Linked DNA regions of Yarrowia lipolytica. The protein of the gene in region 1 interacts with the protein of each later gene in a pairwise test. Links are inferred from orthologs where the notes say so. Each region holds a gene or a part of one and is shown on either strand. Other genes may lie near its edges.

Region 1 (8,034 bases):
TATGTGATGTTGATGATGCTTGAGAATGCAATTAGTGATGTAATTTTTAGTGTATGAAGATGTGAAATTGGTCTCTGTGTGAAACTTGCTGCTTTATTTCGTCTGTCTGTGTAGCCTGTGAATCAGTGTCAATGGGGTATGAATACGTTGTTTCGCCACTGTCGACCAGTGTACACTCCAGTCTGAACACAGTTACCTGCACGCTGATTCCAATATGCAAGCTGGGAGGAGTTAGGGCTTTTTAAAGTTTGGAAGATTTTCCAACACTATAAAAGGGCTTTCATGTTCCATCTTACTTCTTCTTTAACCATGACACCACTATAGACAGTACTGACTGGATAGGTGGGAAACGTTGGATGTGGAGGCCGGAGGAGCTACCGTTCTGGTAGAGACGAAGGAAGCTGCAGCCAGTTCGCGTGGCCAACCGTTGAAAATAACTTTCAAGTGATTTCTCGGTGTCTAGAGGAACCCGGGCTTTTTAAGAACTTCTTGGAGCTTTTGCTTTGAACAAGGGGTGTCAGAGAAGTCCAACATCTTTTTATATAATCGTGGTACTGTTACTGTAGCCCTTATGGCTGGTCGTTCCAATTTGAGTCAGAATCTTGATGTCTGAGTCACTTTGGTATCAGAGCACGAAGAATTCATCACATCACCAGTGTGTACAGTACACATACTTGTACGCTCAGCGAGAGCTACAAAATACGTACTGTACAAGAATGCGGTACGCTTGGAAGATGTTCTTCTCATTGTGGTTTGAAAGAGCTGCTTCACATTGACTTATTGCAAGAAGTTGATGCGAGGCACGTCTATTCAGCATCTTTTGTTCCATAACTGTCATTGTCAAGTGACGTTGAACTAGTTTGTTATCGATGGTTGAAGGTGACTCCCATATGTTTTGCATTAGCAAATAAGTTGCAAAACAAAACAAAACAAAGGCAATAACTTTCCCTTCGCATTCTATCTACACAATCAATCTATTTAAACGCCCATCCACCTCTTTAATTAGCTAGTACTTGTAGTACACTTCCACACCTTTTACTCATCAATCTGGTTCCCCATGAACCCTGATTCACTTACGCTCACACTGCATAGGCGGCGATTGCTCAAGCAGGTCTTCCTCTGTCTGTCTTAATCTTTCATCACAACCATGTCTTCCAAGCGTGCCGTCAAAACCATTGTTTCCTCTATTCAGAAGCTCTACCCTCGAGCTCTCGCAGACTCCTCTTGGGACAACACCGGCCTACTACTGGAATGCCCTCTGGACACCGAACCTGAGAAGGAGAAGCTCAATGTGCTGCTCACCATCGATCTGACAACCTCTGTTGTCGACGAGGCTATCCGAAACAACTCCGGAGTTGTTATGGCCTATCACCCTTTTATTTTCCGAGGCCTCAAGTCTATCACCCAGTCGGACTCCCAGCAGCGATCTCTGCTGCGACTTGCCCGGGCTGGCATCTCTGTCTACTGCCCCCATACTGCCGTTGACGCTGCCGTTGGAGGTGTCAATGACTTCCTGATCGACGTAGTCTCTCTCGGAAAGGAGAACGAGGCCTCCCGGGAGGTCTGCCAGCCCGTAGATGGCGTCCAGGGACAGGAGGGTGCTGGCATGGGCCGAGTGGTGCGTCTCAAGGAACCCATTACCTTCTCCGAGCTGCTGAAGCGAGTTAAGACCGGTCTGGGACTCAAACATGTCCAGGTTGCCCTTACCGAAAAGCACGAGAACCCTGAGGCTAAGATCTCTTCCGTGGCCGTCTGTGCAGGTTCTGGAGCCTCTGTTCTGCGAGGTGTTGATGCAGACGTGCATTTCACTGGCGAGCTTGGCCACCACGAGGCCCTAGGTCTCATTGAAAACGGTACCTCTGCCATTGTCTGCGGTCACTCCAACACCGAGAGAGGCTACCTCAAGACTTTCCAGACTCTGCTGACCAAGGAGCTCAAGAACCAGCACGACGGGGAGGTTGAGGTCATCATCTCTCAGACCGACAAGGACCCTCTCGAAATTGTCTAAGGGGATTGTCTACAAAAAAGGGGATGTATATAGTATCGAACGAATGGATGATGGAGTATTGAACGATGTAAGATGTGAGTACTGTACTGTAGTTATCGTCCGTTTCAATACTGAATTGCAGTGATTAGAGGGTTCTGAGCAGTGTATAAAATCTACTCTTTTGCAATAATTACAATGATTACTATATATTCTCTAATATCGTAGTGTACCTTTGCAGCTCCATCAGCATACAGTCATAAAATACATACTAACGTCACCGATATGCGTTGCTATCCTCTACCAAGTAGTATGTAATTTGCAAAATAGCTAAGCATGCCCATACTTTACACACCATCAATCCTCCTGGTACAAGTAGTACGGACACCCATGCCCATACTTTGTTATCCCTGCTTGCTTTACTTCGTAGTTGAAAACAACCGGAGAGCTGTCTTCCCTCATGCAGCACTTGTCACGTTTATGCCAATCGTATGGTGTAGTCCTCTCCACTAGTGGTAATGTATCGAACCCAAGGGTAAGAAGTGTACTGCAGCTTCGGCTCGACAATCTTCAGATATCGAACCTGAATACCCGAGGTAGTAAAGTAAGGAATGGAGAACTTGACTTGGATGGGTCTCTTGCTCTTAGCCTGCTCATCAGCGTCCTGAACGGAGGGAAGACCCAACTCCGCTCGCATGGAGAATTCTCGTCCTCCTCCAAACTGCTTGATCTTCCACGTGACACATGCCTTCTCAGGGTGCCACTTGATGGAACCTGCGGTAGCAGCCAGCTTAGGCGAATCGGCATCTTCGGGAACAGGAATGTGGATTTCGACGTTGTTGGCCGTCGATCGCTTCTTGAATTGGCCACGGGCCTTAGCCAGAATCTCAATACGCGTGTTGGAGTACTTGTTGATCTTGCAGTCAACCCAAATCAGCGGCTTGACGGTGGTGTTGAGGCGGTAGCTCATGAGCTCAAACTGGCCATCCGGAGGGATGAACGAAATAGTTCTATCGTTCTCAAATCGCGAAAGTCGCACACACTGGTGGAACTTGACGTCCTCCATCTCGATGCTCTTTCCTCGAGATGCACGAGCAGATCCGCCCGATCCGCCTCCCCCAGCACCGGTGTTGCTCACATGGTCAAACAGCACCTTGTCGTTAAGTCCCAGTCGCAGTTCAGGCATACCAGAGAGGTAACATTTCATCTGGACAGAGCCGAGAACCTCAGAACGCAGAACCTGGCCCGAAGGAGACATCAGCAAGTTGACAGCCTCAACAACATCCAAAAATGCCTCGTTCTTTCGGTACTTGATGCCTTCGGAACGCCAAGACACGGCGTTCGTGACAGCCATAGGGGGTCTTGGTTGCTCTTTTGGCACCTGGGCGATTTCCATGGCGATTTCGAGAATGTGGGACTTTTGGGTGATGTACTCCTTGAGGATCTTTGTGTCGGTGGTCTGTGGGAAACCGTAGTCCATCAGCTCGTCCAACAGCTCGTAGATGAGCACAAAGTTGTCTCTGATTGACTCCTCCTCTAGACCCTTGAAGTATTCTGTCAGCACCTGGACGACCCGATGCAAAAACAGCAGAATCTCGGCGGCATTAGTGTTGCGCTTCGTCAGAGCCAGCAGGTACAGGTTGTTGTGGGTAATGTACAGGTAGTTGACTCCCTCATGGGTGAAACACGGAGGGACGACAGGTGACTCCTCCTCGGCCTGCAGAAGCAGCATGGGGAACTTGTCGACAGCCGACATAGGGATGTCGCCGCGGTAGTTTCGCGATAACAGAGGCTTTCCCTTGAGGTCCAGGAAGAAAATTGCCGACGCCATTGTGTGCTGTGTGGTGTTGTAGTGAATGTGGTGATACGTGTGAGTTTTGACGTGGAGGTAATTTTGAATCACGTGATGCACACTTTGGAGAGAGCGTAGTTGGGTGGTGCGAGGAGATGGAAAAGTGAATGTTGGTGGAATTAATAAAGAGGGGCCTGCGGTGTCTTTGGTGTTGTTCTTTGACTAAATATGAGGGGGCCTACACGTTGGATGAGTGTGCTGTTTTCTACACGGATTATCGTTTTTCATCTTTGGGCTTGGGAATGTGGCAGTGTCCGGGTTGGGAGATCCTGACTAAGAGAGATTATGAGGAGGGCATAAGGGATAGGTTCAAGAATGATTGCATTGATATCATCGTAGCTCGCTGTGTGATATCATTGACTCAATTGCTTCAATGTAAATTGCAGCAGTCCCTGGAGATATGCCAATGTGGGTACTATGAGACCGCACCGAAGAGATTTTAAGTACTCGTACTTTTATATGCCACCAAACGGAGACACTAGAGAGCTCGCATTGGATACAAAATAAGATCCTACTTGTACAAGTACAGTATGTACACTACAGTACCGGAAGTTGTTTCGTAACACTGCACACTGACAACGAGATGCTTACTTGTCTTCTCTGCGCGTGTATTTCCTTGGGTAAGGTTCTGAAGGGAGGACGCTTCAGAGATGCAGGCGCTACAGTAGGCCAAGTTACACTGCTCTATCACCACATTTCAATGACTCCTTGACATGTCTGATCTGACTAACCTGCTGGCCGAGTTGTCGCGTGTGCAACCTGCAAACAGTACGCCTTTCTTTACTCAGAAGGACCCACTGAAAATCACCACCTATGCCGATGCTCTCAAATACACAGTCCATGAACTCACGAAACGGCCTGAGTTTCTGACTGAGGTGAAACGGCTGATGATAGAGCAGCAGAGACGACTGGCCCAGCTCGAGAAGGAATACAATGAGATCGATGCGAAAATAGAGGCCCAGAAACGTGACTTTGAGAAAGTCGACAACATCCTAGCATCAGTAGGAATCGGAGGAGGAGGGGGGGGATCCAAAAACAAGAAGCCACCCACGAGGGAGGAAGCCGAAAAGGCATTCCATGCACATGCCCACAAGACGCTGACAAACATGTACGATTACATCTACAGGCGTTTTGAGGAGCTGAAGATCCCTTTGTTCTACACTAGTCCTGAAGCCAAGGCAAGAGGAGGAAAGCGAGTGAGAGAGGGCCAGAAGGAGCTAGTTGAGTTTCTCGAGATTTTAGTTGAGTAAAAGAGGTATTCGTTAAAGAAAGATGCAGAAAAAAAAAGAAAAAGATGCGTGAATGCAAGCATACCAAGCTTACAATGATCAATAATGACCAATGCCCACACATCTGTCAGCTGCTGAACTGCAACTGGGAACAAAGGAACTCGTACTTGAACGACAGCCAGAACTATTATAGAGGTGGAAGCATTAAAAAAAACCACACTCAACTCCCTGGTCCAGACTGCATGATCCTGGCGCAACTTACACCAGTCCCGCCCCATAAATGGCTTTACGTAGGAGTGAGTTTCATAGGAGACAAGAGTCAGTAAGTAAGAGGTTTATCGACACAGCTTGGCCCATTGCAAGACAACCGCGTAAGTCAACTGACTGAAAAAATTCTATAGACTTCCCCATACACACTCATCTTCTATTGTCTCATCTGGGCAACGTGCCAAGACAACGGTCATGCAGGGAAGCTAAGAAGGGCTGAAATAAATCTAGATGGTGTGTGTAAGTGGCGTGGAAAGCGACGTCCTAGGATTTGAGAATTGAGCATAAAGTCTTCGGTGCAAGAGGGGTGATCGAGGTGAGCTTGTAGGGTTACATTCGGAAGAAAAGCCGTGCGATGGTATTCATAGAGAGACGCTGCAAGTAAAGTCCGAGAAAGGGATGGGGAAGAGGGTCGTATCCAGGTAAGTAAAAGAAACAACAATAAGCTGGTAACACCAAAAGACAACAACTAGTACAAGAGACACCGAACGATATTCTGTACTGACATGTTCCTCAATTACGCTCCATGCTCAATACGTTGCAAGTAGAAGATTTACTGTAGAGTGGAACTACTGTGAGCTGTAACGATAAGTTTGAGCGAAGAAGACGAGAGTAGAATATTTTTGTCGGTTATGTACCGGTACGACTTAGCAATTGTTGTACAAAGTAAGTATATCCCCTCATTGCTCTAGGCATGGTGTTGGAGACTGAGCTGCTCCATATTATGCCAAGTCAACATGGCTTCGATATTGGTGGGACGGTGGTTGGGCCACAAGGAATAACTAATCGAGCAACGGTCCGTCATAAGCACTCAATATTGACCTATTGTATGCACTGTACTACAAGTAGAAGCCTGGTGACTGACCATCAAAATTTTCCATGCTTATTGCTAATTTCAATCTGTAGACTCCATTTGGTTCGGACGACAGATAGGGACCCCCACTGGCCTTGCAAAAGTATGTCACTTGCAAGCCGAAGCTTCAGAGCGCGGAAGAGAGCACCAATAACCACTGGGGTTAAAATCTTCGCTCCCCATGCCGATCTACTTGTAGCTGCACTTTACTCCCTATCCCACTCTGTGATTCAAGACTTGCATGATATGACTACTGTACAAGGCACAGGTTGTAATATCGGGACTGAACTTGGAGGCGTTGCTATGAGCTTGTCGCAATAGTGACATGCGTTCATAGCAATTCGAGGCGGTAAAAGTACCGCTCTAGACTACGATACAATATTTATAGCGTCCACAACTTTCATTTTATACTAGCGCCCTGAAAGAGTTGCGAAGTACAGTATCGTACTTGTACAGTAGCCGCGAGAGAAAAAAGACACGATGGTGGATAGGCAAGCCAAGCCGCTACTAACTTTGCTACAGCAGATACGATGCGCCAGTGTGTACAACCGAGGGTGGAAGGAGACGAGAATGCTTCCTCTTTGTCAACACGGAAATACCATCCAGGCGAGGGTAGAGTTGATAGACCCTAACGGTCAAAGTTTTGCATAGGCCAACGGAAAGAATTTTACAGTACGTGCTCGTACTTGTATGCGGATCATAGAGCAAGACTATTTATTGTACGAATCAACGAGATTTATCACTTACAAAATTTTCACCGTCGTCGTCTCGATTTCTCCCAACTTTACGGTCTCTTTCAGGACATCTTCATCATGCGTAATTTCGCAACACCTGGCAAATGGCTCTGCCGGTGTGATAGAGTTGGCTTTCGGCAAAGCCAAGACGGGAATATTGAATGTAAATGGGACAAAATGGGAGTACGTATGTGACAGAAGCAAAGGGGGATGAAACAGAATCGAAAAAACTCCACAAGAATATAGCGAACATCCCGTATTCTTTACATGACATCATCGTTAGCATGTTCATACATACGTGTATGCAGAACGTTCAGCCCGCTTAAGTTGGCACTATTGCGAACCAACACACTTTCTGTGAGGGAAGACTGCAAACGTAGAGAGGCATGGACGTTTGCGAGCGAATAAAATAGGCAAAATCAACAGCTAACTGAAGGGAAAGCCTACTAGCGATAAAACAGACCAATCTAAGATATATCACGTCTTCATCTACCGCAGAACGTCTCGCCTAGTGCCGCAACTTGACACCTCAGAATTTGACCCACCAATAGAAAACTCCCAAGAGCTATATTTCGTTGCAGAAACTGTCTGCGGAATTGGCTTTGACTTCGGCACGGCTCTGGGTTGATGAGGGGTCTACGACGAGTAATCGTTGCCACAAAGTGATAATACTAGTTCTGTACAATAATCCCCGTTTGTAGGGTATTTCAATTAGTTTCAACCCGTCGATATGAGCAATATTAGTCTCTATTATCACCTGCAAACTTCCAAGAGACCCACATTGTTTGACTTCGATAAACTTCGATAATAGCGCTTGGCAACGTTTAACAGGTCTGAAAGTGGATGCAAGCGCTGGACAAGGAATTAACGCCCCACCAGAATTAAAAATTAGAACAGGCAAAACGAGAAAAAGATTACCTACGGTACCAAAATCACGACCGCACCAAAACCTTCTCGGTCGACCAACTCCAACTACTTATAACGTGCGCCGTCGCTGCTCAATCGGCTAACACACACAAGCACCAAACACCTCACCCATGGAAATCTTGCTATCGCCTTAAACAAGCGTACTTTTTGCAGTGCCTAATCGACAAGAAACAAAGCCGACAAAAAAA
Region 2 (7,704 bases), on another chromosome or scaffold:
TATGCCACCGACTGCCAGTAGACGAGGTGGATGCTCAGGCTGAATGGTCACAGATCGTCAATGGTACACACCCCATGTGGGTGGGTGTTCCTTCGCATTACAGAGAGATGGTTCGACCGTTCTTCATCAAGGTCGGGGCAGAGTTCTTGAAACGATCGAGACCGGGAAGGGAGTTTGTGTACTCGTCAGCATCGATCGGAAACCTGTTCCTGACTGGAGCTCGGTTGTTCACAGGTTCTCTGGAGTCAGCTGTGGAAATGATGTTACGTATCACACACGTTTCTCATGACACAGAGGTGCTCCCCGCACTCAACACCAACTTTATGCATCACATTGCTGCTCTGTTGCACAATGGAACGGTCATCTTTGGCCAGAGTCAGATTTCTCATCCTGAGGAACCATCCATTGATTCCCTTTCGGTAGAGGCTGATCCTGAAATGGTGCCCACAACAGCACCTCTGGGATACGGCAAGCCGAGGTCCTGCTCAATCGATGGAGAGGATGCTCACATGCCGTTCACTCACCCAGATCTCACAAACTCACAGCTTAACTTTTCGAAAAGCTATCAGGTCCCATTGGAGTCGCCCATTAGAAGAGTGTTTTACATCAACCCATTTGGATTAGAGATCCACCCAAAGGCCAGCACTCGTGTCCAGCGTGCCCTTGCAGAATCAAACTGTGTTATTTATTCCATTGGATCTCTGTACACATCCCTGATTCCTGTTCTACTCTTGAGAGGCGTGGCTGACTCTATTGAAACAAAGCTAGAAAACGGACTGACCAAGACCAAGGTTATGCTTCTAAATGGCTCTCCTGATCGTGAGACCAACGGCATGAGCGCTGTTGAGCATGTGGAGGCAGTGGTCAAGGCCTGTCTGTACTCTAAACTTCAACGTGAGTGCACGGCCCAGGAGATTTCCGACTGCGATTGGACCCGATTCCTGACTCACGTTATGTCGCCTTATGTTCTTCCACCCGTGTGTCTGAAGGAACTCGAAGATCACGACATCAATGTTATCCAGATGGAGGAGAGGGAAGTCGATGAGGATGGAAAGCCAATCTATGACCAAAAGGCACTGCTGCGGGAATTAACAGAGCTAAACAATTGTGCACACAAGTAAGTACAATACAACTGCATGAATATCCCGGTGCGGCGCTTTTGGGCTTTTTGCCCGAATTCATCTGAGCCCCTTAAAAAGCCCGTACATCCACAGACACTGGCATACAGTAGACCTGGCACATCTTAATTATGCTCAATATGCAGGTCATGCCGAATCTAACTCTGAGCTATATCCGAAGTGTCAAAGCTCTCCGCCAATACCATGGCCCAAAAAGACACCAATGGCTGTCTTTTGAAAATCGAAAGTTGAACGCCACTTGCAACACGTAAACCATGGAGTAATAAGCTCACGTGTAATGGTATGACCAACGGTTGTACATACTATGAATTGAGGTCGCATCTGTGGTCAAGCGTCCTGACCGTTGAACATGCGATGTCCGTAGTACATGAGCCGGTGGTGCATTGAGCTGGTAGAAGTCGAGGGACAAGTGTTGATTTGACACAATGGGCGCGAGTGCATCGGACACCAGTCAGCCATGCCCATTTCCCGGCGTAAACTTCTATGACCCCATCTACTGTACGAGTACGTCTATTTCCCTCACAGGCCCTTAAAAACTCCTGCAGTTGTGCCTCTTGCATTATTACGTTGGGTCCACGGAAGTAATTAGAAGGGATGTTGAGTATGAGAAGAACGGGACGGAATCACAAAACATATTTGATGGTGATACTAATGACTATATATTTCAACCACACCAACGTCACTTACAAAATCCCACGTCAACAGCCCCGATCCACGTGTCATCTTCTTCGCCCTTCTCCCGAACACGCATAAACTCCATATGGAACAAGGTTCAATAGTGCTTGTCGGGCTCCTGATATATATGTAGCAACTCCTCTTATTTATATACTCTTCTCTGTTGCACAAGACACTCTTCATCAACACACACACAATGACTGCCACTTCTACAATCAACGGTACTCCCGCAATGGCCACCAACCCCAAGGCCATTGTCTTTTCCGACTGGGATGGAACCATTACTCTGCAGGACTCCAACGACTGGCTCACCGACAATCTCGGCTTTGGAGTCGAGAAGCGAAAGTTCTACAACGCAGAGATCCTCCACGAGCGAATGTCCTTCTCCGAGGCCTTCAAGATCATGTTGGATTCCGTCAAGACCCCCTTCCCCGAGTGTATCGAGCAGCTTCTCAATAACATTGACCTCGATCCCGGGTTTGCCGTCTTCTACAAGTGGTGCAAGGAACGAAATATTCCCGTGGTCGTGGTTTCATCTGGTATGAAGCCCGTCATCTTTGCTCTGCTCAAGAAGCTGGTTGGAGAGGAGGCCGCAGATGACATTGAGATCATCGCTAACGATGTGAAGATCGAGCCTGATGGAGAGTGGAACATTGTCTACCGAGACGAGTCGCATTTTGGCCACGACAAGTCCCGATGCATCAAGCCCTACGCCGAGCTCCCCGAGGGCAAGCGACCCACCATGTTCTACTGTGGTGACGGTGTCTCTGATCTCTCTGCCGCAAGGGAGACAGATCTGCTGTTCGCCAAGGCTGGCAAGGATCTGATTGTCTACCTCGAGAAGATGTCTCTGCCTTACAACATCTTCCACTCCTTCGCTGATATCAACAAGCGAGTCGACGAGATCTACTCCGGAAAGCTCACTCTCAAGGAGGCTGAGGCCACCCATACCATCCAGTAAGCAAATTATATATAGATGACGAATACTAATAGACCAATTGACCGGAAACTCGCAATTTTGATACTTGTGCCTCTCACAGGCACTGTGATGTAATTTAACAACACGGCAATCACCGTATTTGGGTCCTACCCTAACCCGATTATGTAACTTGGTCTTCACCACATACACACACAAAGGGGTAAATCTACTGTATTTGTGAGACCGAGACGATATTATGAGCTTCAGAGCAACTGACTGCTCCCAAACTCATTTGTCCATTTGTCTACATACATCTCATGTATTAGTATGAGTACATTCATTCTACCTCGCGACCCCATATGTTCTAAAAGTCCCAAATTATGCCAATAGTCTCGACAGACCCTCCTCCTCGTTTTCGGCTGCCTCCAGAGCATCCTGCTGAGAGATTCGTCTAAGAACCTCTCGCTTCGACGACTCCTGGATCTCTCCTCCGACCACAATCTCGTCGAGAATGTAGTATGCTTTTTGGAAGTTGAAGATGATATCGAGCTCGCACACGTTGCCGTAATACTTGTCCATCTGCTCAACGTATCTGTGAATGATTTCGAGAGTGTTTAGTTCGTTGTCATCGGAGTCGATGCCTGTAATGAAAAATAGCGATGCATAACGTCTGAAAACAACCTTGGTTTCTGTGTTAGTCTTTTTTCGTGGTGGTGCATCACTGAGGACACAACATTGCCCACTGGACTGGGAGACTGCCGCAGTATTGAATCAACAATACAAAGTGACTTATTTGTCCACTCCTTTTGTGCAGTCTTCTGACGGGTCGTGTAGTCTTGTCGTCATCTGCCGCACAGCTCCTTTTCTCTCTCGCGTCGTCACTACTGCTGTAATGTTTCCGATAGCTCGGTATCAGACACCTCGGCGATCAGTGAGCCATTTTTACCGACCCCAAGAAAGTGTAGCTCTGCAGCGCTCTTCTTGCCACTTCACAGCACAATGAACTAAGCCACAGCACTCATTGTGGATGAGGTGTTTCGTAGAGGTACTCTTCTTGGAAGAATTTCTGACGGTGGCTCAGCAAGAAGTGAACCAACTCGCGCTTGGTAAGTCATCGAGCCAACGCAGTCACGTCCTCCTTATCTTACTCACCCTTGTGTTCAATGACATTGCACATCTTTGTTCGTCTGGAAAGAACCAGTGCAGTAACCTCCTTGACGATCTTGGCCTTTTCACGGGTGCCGAGAGTTGTGAACCATTTGGCCAGACGAACCTTGCCCTGACGCGATAGCAACAGCAGATATTGGATGGCCATTTGTTGTGTGTGTTGAGATGCTTTGATGAGAGTGGTGAAGACAGATGACACGCTTGCAGTTCCCAATGAAACTATATTGGCGACGAAGTCAGAGTGAAGCTACTTGTAGTTGTCGTGAGTTGGACTATTTGTAGCTACTTGGAGCTATTGAAAGGCGAAGGGAGGGGATTAAAAAGGGAGAAGTATTAAAAATCAAGTCACTAGATGAGGTATTTACCTGTCGGTGATCTTTTTCCTTAGGCATAATTCAATGACTGCTAAGAGATGCAAATTAGGCTGTGTATGTCCCAAAACCATACTATAACAACCGCGATACTATAAGCAAGTACAAGTACAATTTGTATGACACAACGAGCGGTTCACATGCATTTTTGGAACGAAATGTATCTCCCTAGAATTGAAAGAAAATAGAATCGACAAGGTCGTATGTAATCGATTGATTCTTTTACAAGTAGCTACTATCACAAGTAGCTCATCCACAGCCACCATTACTTGTACTCGTACAATTGTCGCACTTATTTTATATATAATAAAATTCTCAACTATTAACTACAACCAGTGCAATTACTGTTAACGCTCTCTAGCCTTCTCTTTTTAGTTTTTCTGCTTCTCCCATCCCTCGGGTCGGGTCATGCCCTGAGCATCGAAGAACTTGCCAGTGCAAGAGTAGGAGTGCCAAGAGAAGTTATCGCTGGCCTGGCACATGCACCGACCATCCAGTCGCATCTTCTCGGTGGTGGGACAGTTGTTGAAAGGGTTGTGGAAGTATCCAATGTCCTCGAAGTAGTGGATAGAGTCCTTGTCGGCGAACAGAGCAGCACCAATGGAGTGAACAGGGGCATCACCCCATCGCTCGTAGAAAAATCCACCAGCGTGGTCAAGGTAGTCAAAGTAGGAGGAGTAAGCCTCTCCTCGCCACAGATCAAGGTCAGCAACCTCAAAGTTGGACCAGAAATGGCACTTGTTGTAGGTCTCTCCGTTATCGTCGGAAATGAACTTCATCAGGTTGTTGGGGTGGACCATCTGGGGGAACTGGTGCATGTACTTCTTGGTGGTCTCCCACAGAGTCTCAATGGTGGCGCCGTACTCAAACAGAGAAATGGTGAAACCGTAGGACTTATTGTTCTCTCGCATGAACTTGAACACATCATAGTTGACGTCACAGTGCAGCTTGATGGAGGGCTCGACTCGCCAGTAGTACTTGAACTGGTTCATGATAGGGTGTCGCCAGAAGAAGCCGGACTCGTATCGGCACATATGTCGGTAGGGAATGGAGTCACCGTAGATGACCTGCTTCTGTCGCATCTCCTCTCTGGTTCGAGCAGCTCGCTCCTGATCAATGAAATCGGGGAATCCCCAGTGCTCCTCGCCAATCTTACCATAGTGGGTCTTACCTGAGCACATGGCGGTGGTCACCTTCTTGAATTCATCGGAAAACTCGGCGTCGTTAAGGAAAACCCAGTCGTATGCAAACTGGTGGTTGAATCGGTCCTCGACCTGTCGGATAGATCCGACCAGTTCCCACAGATCACTGTTTCGAGCCAGGGTCACAAAGGTGGCGTTCTCTCGCTGGTAGTCGGTAAGGGGCTGGAACTTAGAGGGGGCAGCGTTCACGACCTTGTGGGCGGAGTCGACGGCCTTCGCGGCGCCCTCCTTGACGTCATTGGCAGCCTCCTTGGCATGCTCGACGACTGTGTCCTTGGTCTCCTCAACCTCCGTCTTGAACTCGTTCAGATCGGGCTTGGTCCTGTTGGATACCATGCCGCTGATGTCCACGGACGAGGAGCTCAGCTTGTAGAGCAGGAACATGAGCACGACCGCCAGAATGGCGAATCGGGTCACTCGCACACTGTTTCGTACCATGTTGTGTATGTGTGGTGAGTGAAATGTGTGTATATGAAGCGAAGTGTAGGAGTATAAGAAGGAAGAACGTGTGGAGACACGCGTCCGCTACTTTACCATTTTTTGGCTTTTCACAATGCCAGCAAACAAGCAAACCTTAGTGCGGAGTACCTTCTGAAGTTCTGACCATGACGGATTTAGGTCGCTCTCAACAGGGTGCTGGCGTTATTCTGTCCATTTACAACCCTTGTAAAGATATATTAAAGGGATCTTTCGTCCAAACTAGCCCTTTAAGGCAATAAGCCACACATAAGCTGCTCTAGCCGCCTTGTCTTTTGTGTCGTTGGGTTCGTGACAGTCGTATCACCCTATATTCGCCACGTCTGCACTTCTGTCTCGAACTTAACCCGAGTCCCAGCAGCAGCAGCAGTAGCTGAGAAATCTATATATAGTTACCCGGCTTGAAGACCATTCCAGACGCGTACGACAGGGGGTGATGCGCAGGCTGCAGCTGCTGGAAGTTTCATCGAAACAGGACCTGCCTGTCAGTATATATCCTGCACTTGGCTGGCGCGTATATGCCGCCGCTCCATGGCTGCCCTGGAGTTCAATCTGTCCATTTGGAGCGCTTGATGTTGAAACCACTTACTACTTGTACTGTACATACTGCTGTCTTGGGTTGCGTGGAAGATACACAGCCCACTTCTCTATCAACAGACTATTTGTACGACTGCTTGTATCTTATCTTATTAAATTAATCGCCTAGAAATTTGTGGGCGTGCGAATGTTTTATGAGCTTGAACCACGCTCCGAATGCGCCAAGTGGTTGGCTCCTCCGCTCCGCTCCTCCACACAACCAACGTCGTTAGTCCAGATGTTGACTGTTCGCTAGAACAAAAAATAGCCTCAGTCTACTGGCACAACTCGTACTATTGAAAAGTAGAAATTTTCAGCACCACAGTCGTCGTAAGTCCAGGAACGCGTAGCTGTCTAATGTCATTAAGTGCAGATCTAACCCTGAGGCATGGCGTGCGACGGCAATGCCCAACACACATTCTGCATCGGCGGATATACCCAAGGGGGAAAATCCAAAAGCGAAGAATGTGTGTCTCAAACTTCGCGGACACGCTGAGGGAGTCTCAGGGTCGCACAAACTATAAAATTAATATTGCAAGTGTGTACCCCGATCTGTCGAGTGCTTTTGGTCAACTGGATGTGAGTGAACTCAACATGGCTGAAGATACGCCCTGCATAATACCTTGAGCATGTACAGGCATCTCGTTTAGTAAACTACACGACATGGCTCACAGGCAGAAACAGATATGTGCACCCTGTCAACTGACTCATGTCGCATTACATCTGATAGTCTGGTGGTAGTCTACAGTAGTCCACTTGTAGTTACTTGTAGCATAACTCATGATAGAGTAAATTCCGTTTCTCCAGCTTCTGCTTGTTGCTAGCCACCACATCAGAGTTGACGTGTCTACTGCAGGCCAGCTGTATGCGTACTGACAGCCCTACAAGTAGTACAGCAGAACCGTAGAAATTGCGCAGTGCTAGTTTTTGGGGGAACACATACTCGATCCGTGCCCAATGGTACGTGCGGCTGGCTTTTTTTTTTTACTGCATGTGGTTTCTTGTCCTGTCAGTGTGGGGATGGTGCAACCATTAACCCATTTTTGAACCTCTTCCGGAACAGGACTGGGCCGGGGAATTCCGTCATATTGAGAGGAGAAATACACAAAGCTGCGCCAGCGGCTGTATTATATCTACAATACAGTGCTTCATCCACTCCCGTATTTTTTGACGCATAC

Evidence for each region.
Region 2: the proteins of YALI1_B15482g (region 1) and YALI1_D36137g interact in binary tests that used the Saccharomyces cerevisiae proteins (3 or more experiments, as listed by UniProt). The link is inferred for Yarrowia lipolytica from reciprocal best matches to the Saccharomyces cerevisiae genes APM1 and APS1.

What each region holds. Positions count from the first base shown.
Region 1 is NC_090771.1:1,544,048-1,552,081, reverse strand, and holds YALI1_B15482g (uncharacterized protein), read right to left. Parts: upstream 3,816-8,034; coding exon 2,463-3,815; downstream 1-2,462. Other genes in the region: YALI1_B15509g (uncharacterized protein), read left to right, coding at 1,148-2,008; YALI1_B15475g (uncharacterized protein), read left to right, coding at 4,550-5,086; YALI1_B15460g (uncharacterized protein), read left to right, coding at 6,027-6,506. UniProt on the Saccharomyces cerevisiae protein: Component of the adaptor complexes which link clathrin to receptors in coated vesicles. Clathrin-associated protein complexes are believed to interact with the cytoplasmic tails of membrane proteins, leading to their selection and concentration.
Region 2 is NC_090773.1:3,610,178-3,617,881, forward strand, and holds YALI1_D36137g (uncharacterized protein), read right to left. Parts: upstream 4,049-7,704; coding exon 3,886-4,048; intron 3,423-3,885; coding exon 3,112-3,422; downstream 1-3,111. Other genes in the region: YALI1_D36100g (uncharacterized protein), read left to right, coding at 1-1,121; YALI1_D36122g (uncharacterized protein), read left to right, coding at 2,011-2,775; YALI1_D36161g (uncharacterized protein), read right to left, coding at 4,643-5,911. UniProt on the Saccharomyces cerevisiae protein: Component of the adapter complexes which link clathrin to receptors in coated vesicles. Clathrin-associated protein complexes are believed to interact with the cytoplasmic tails of membrane proteins, leading to their selection and concentration.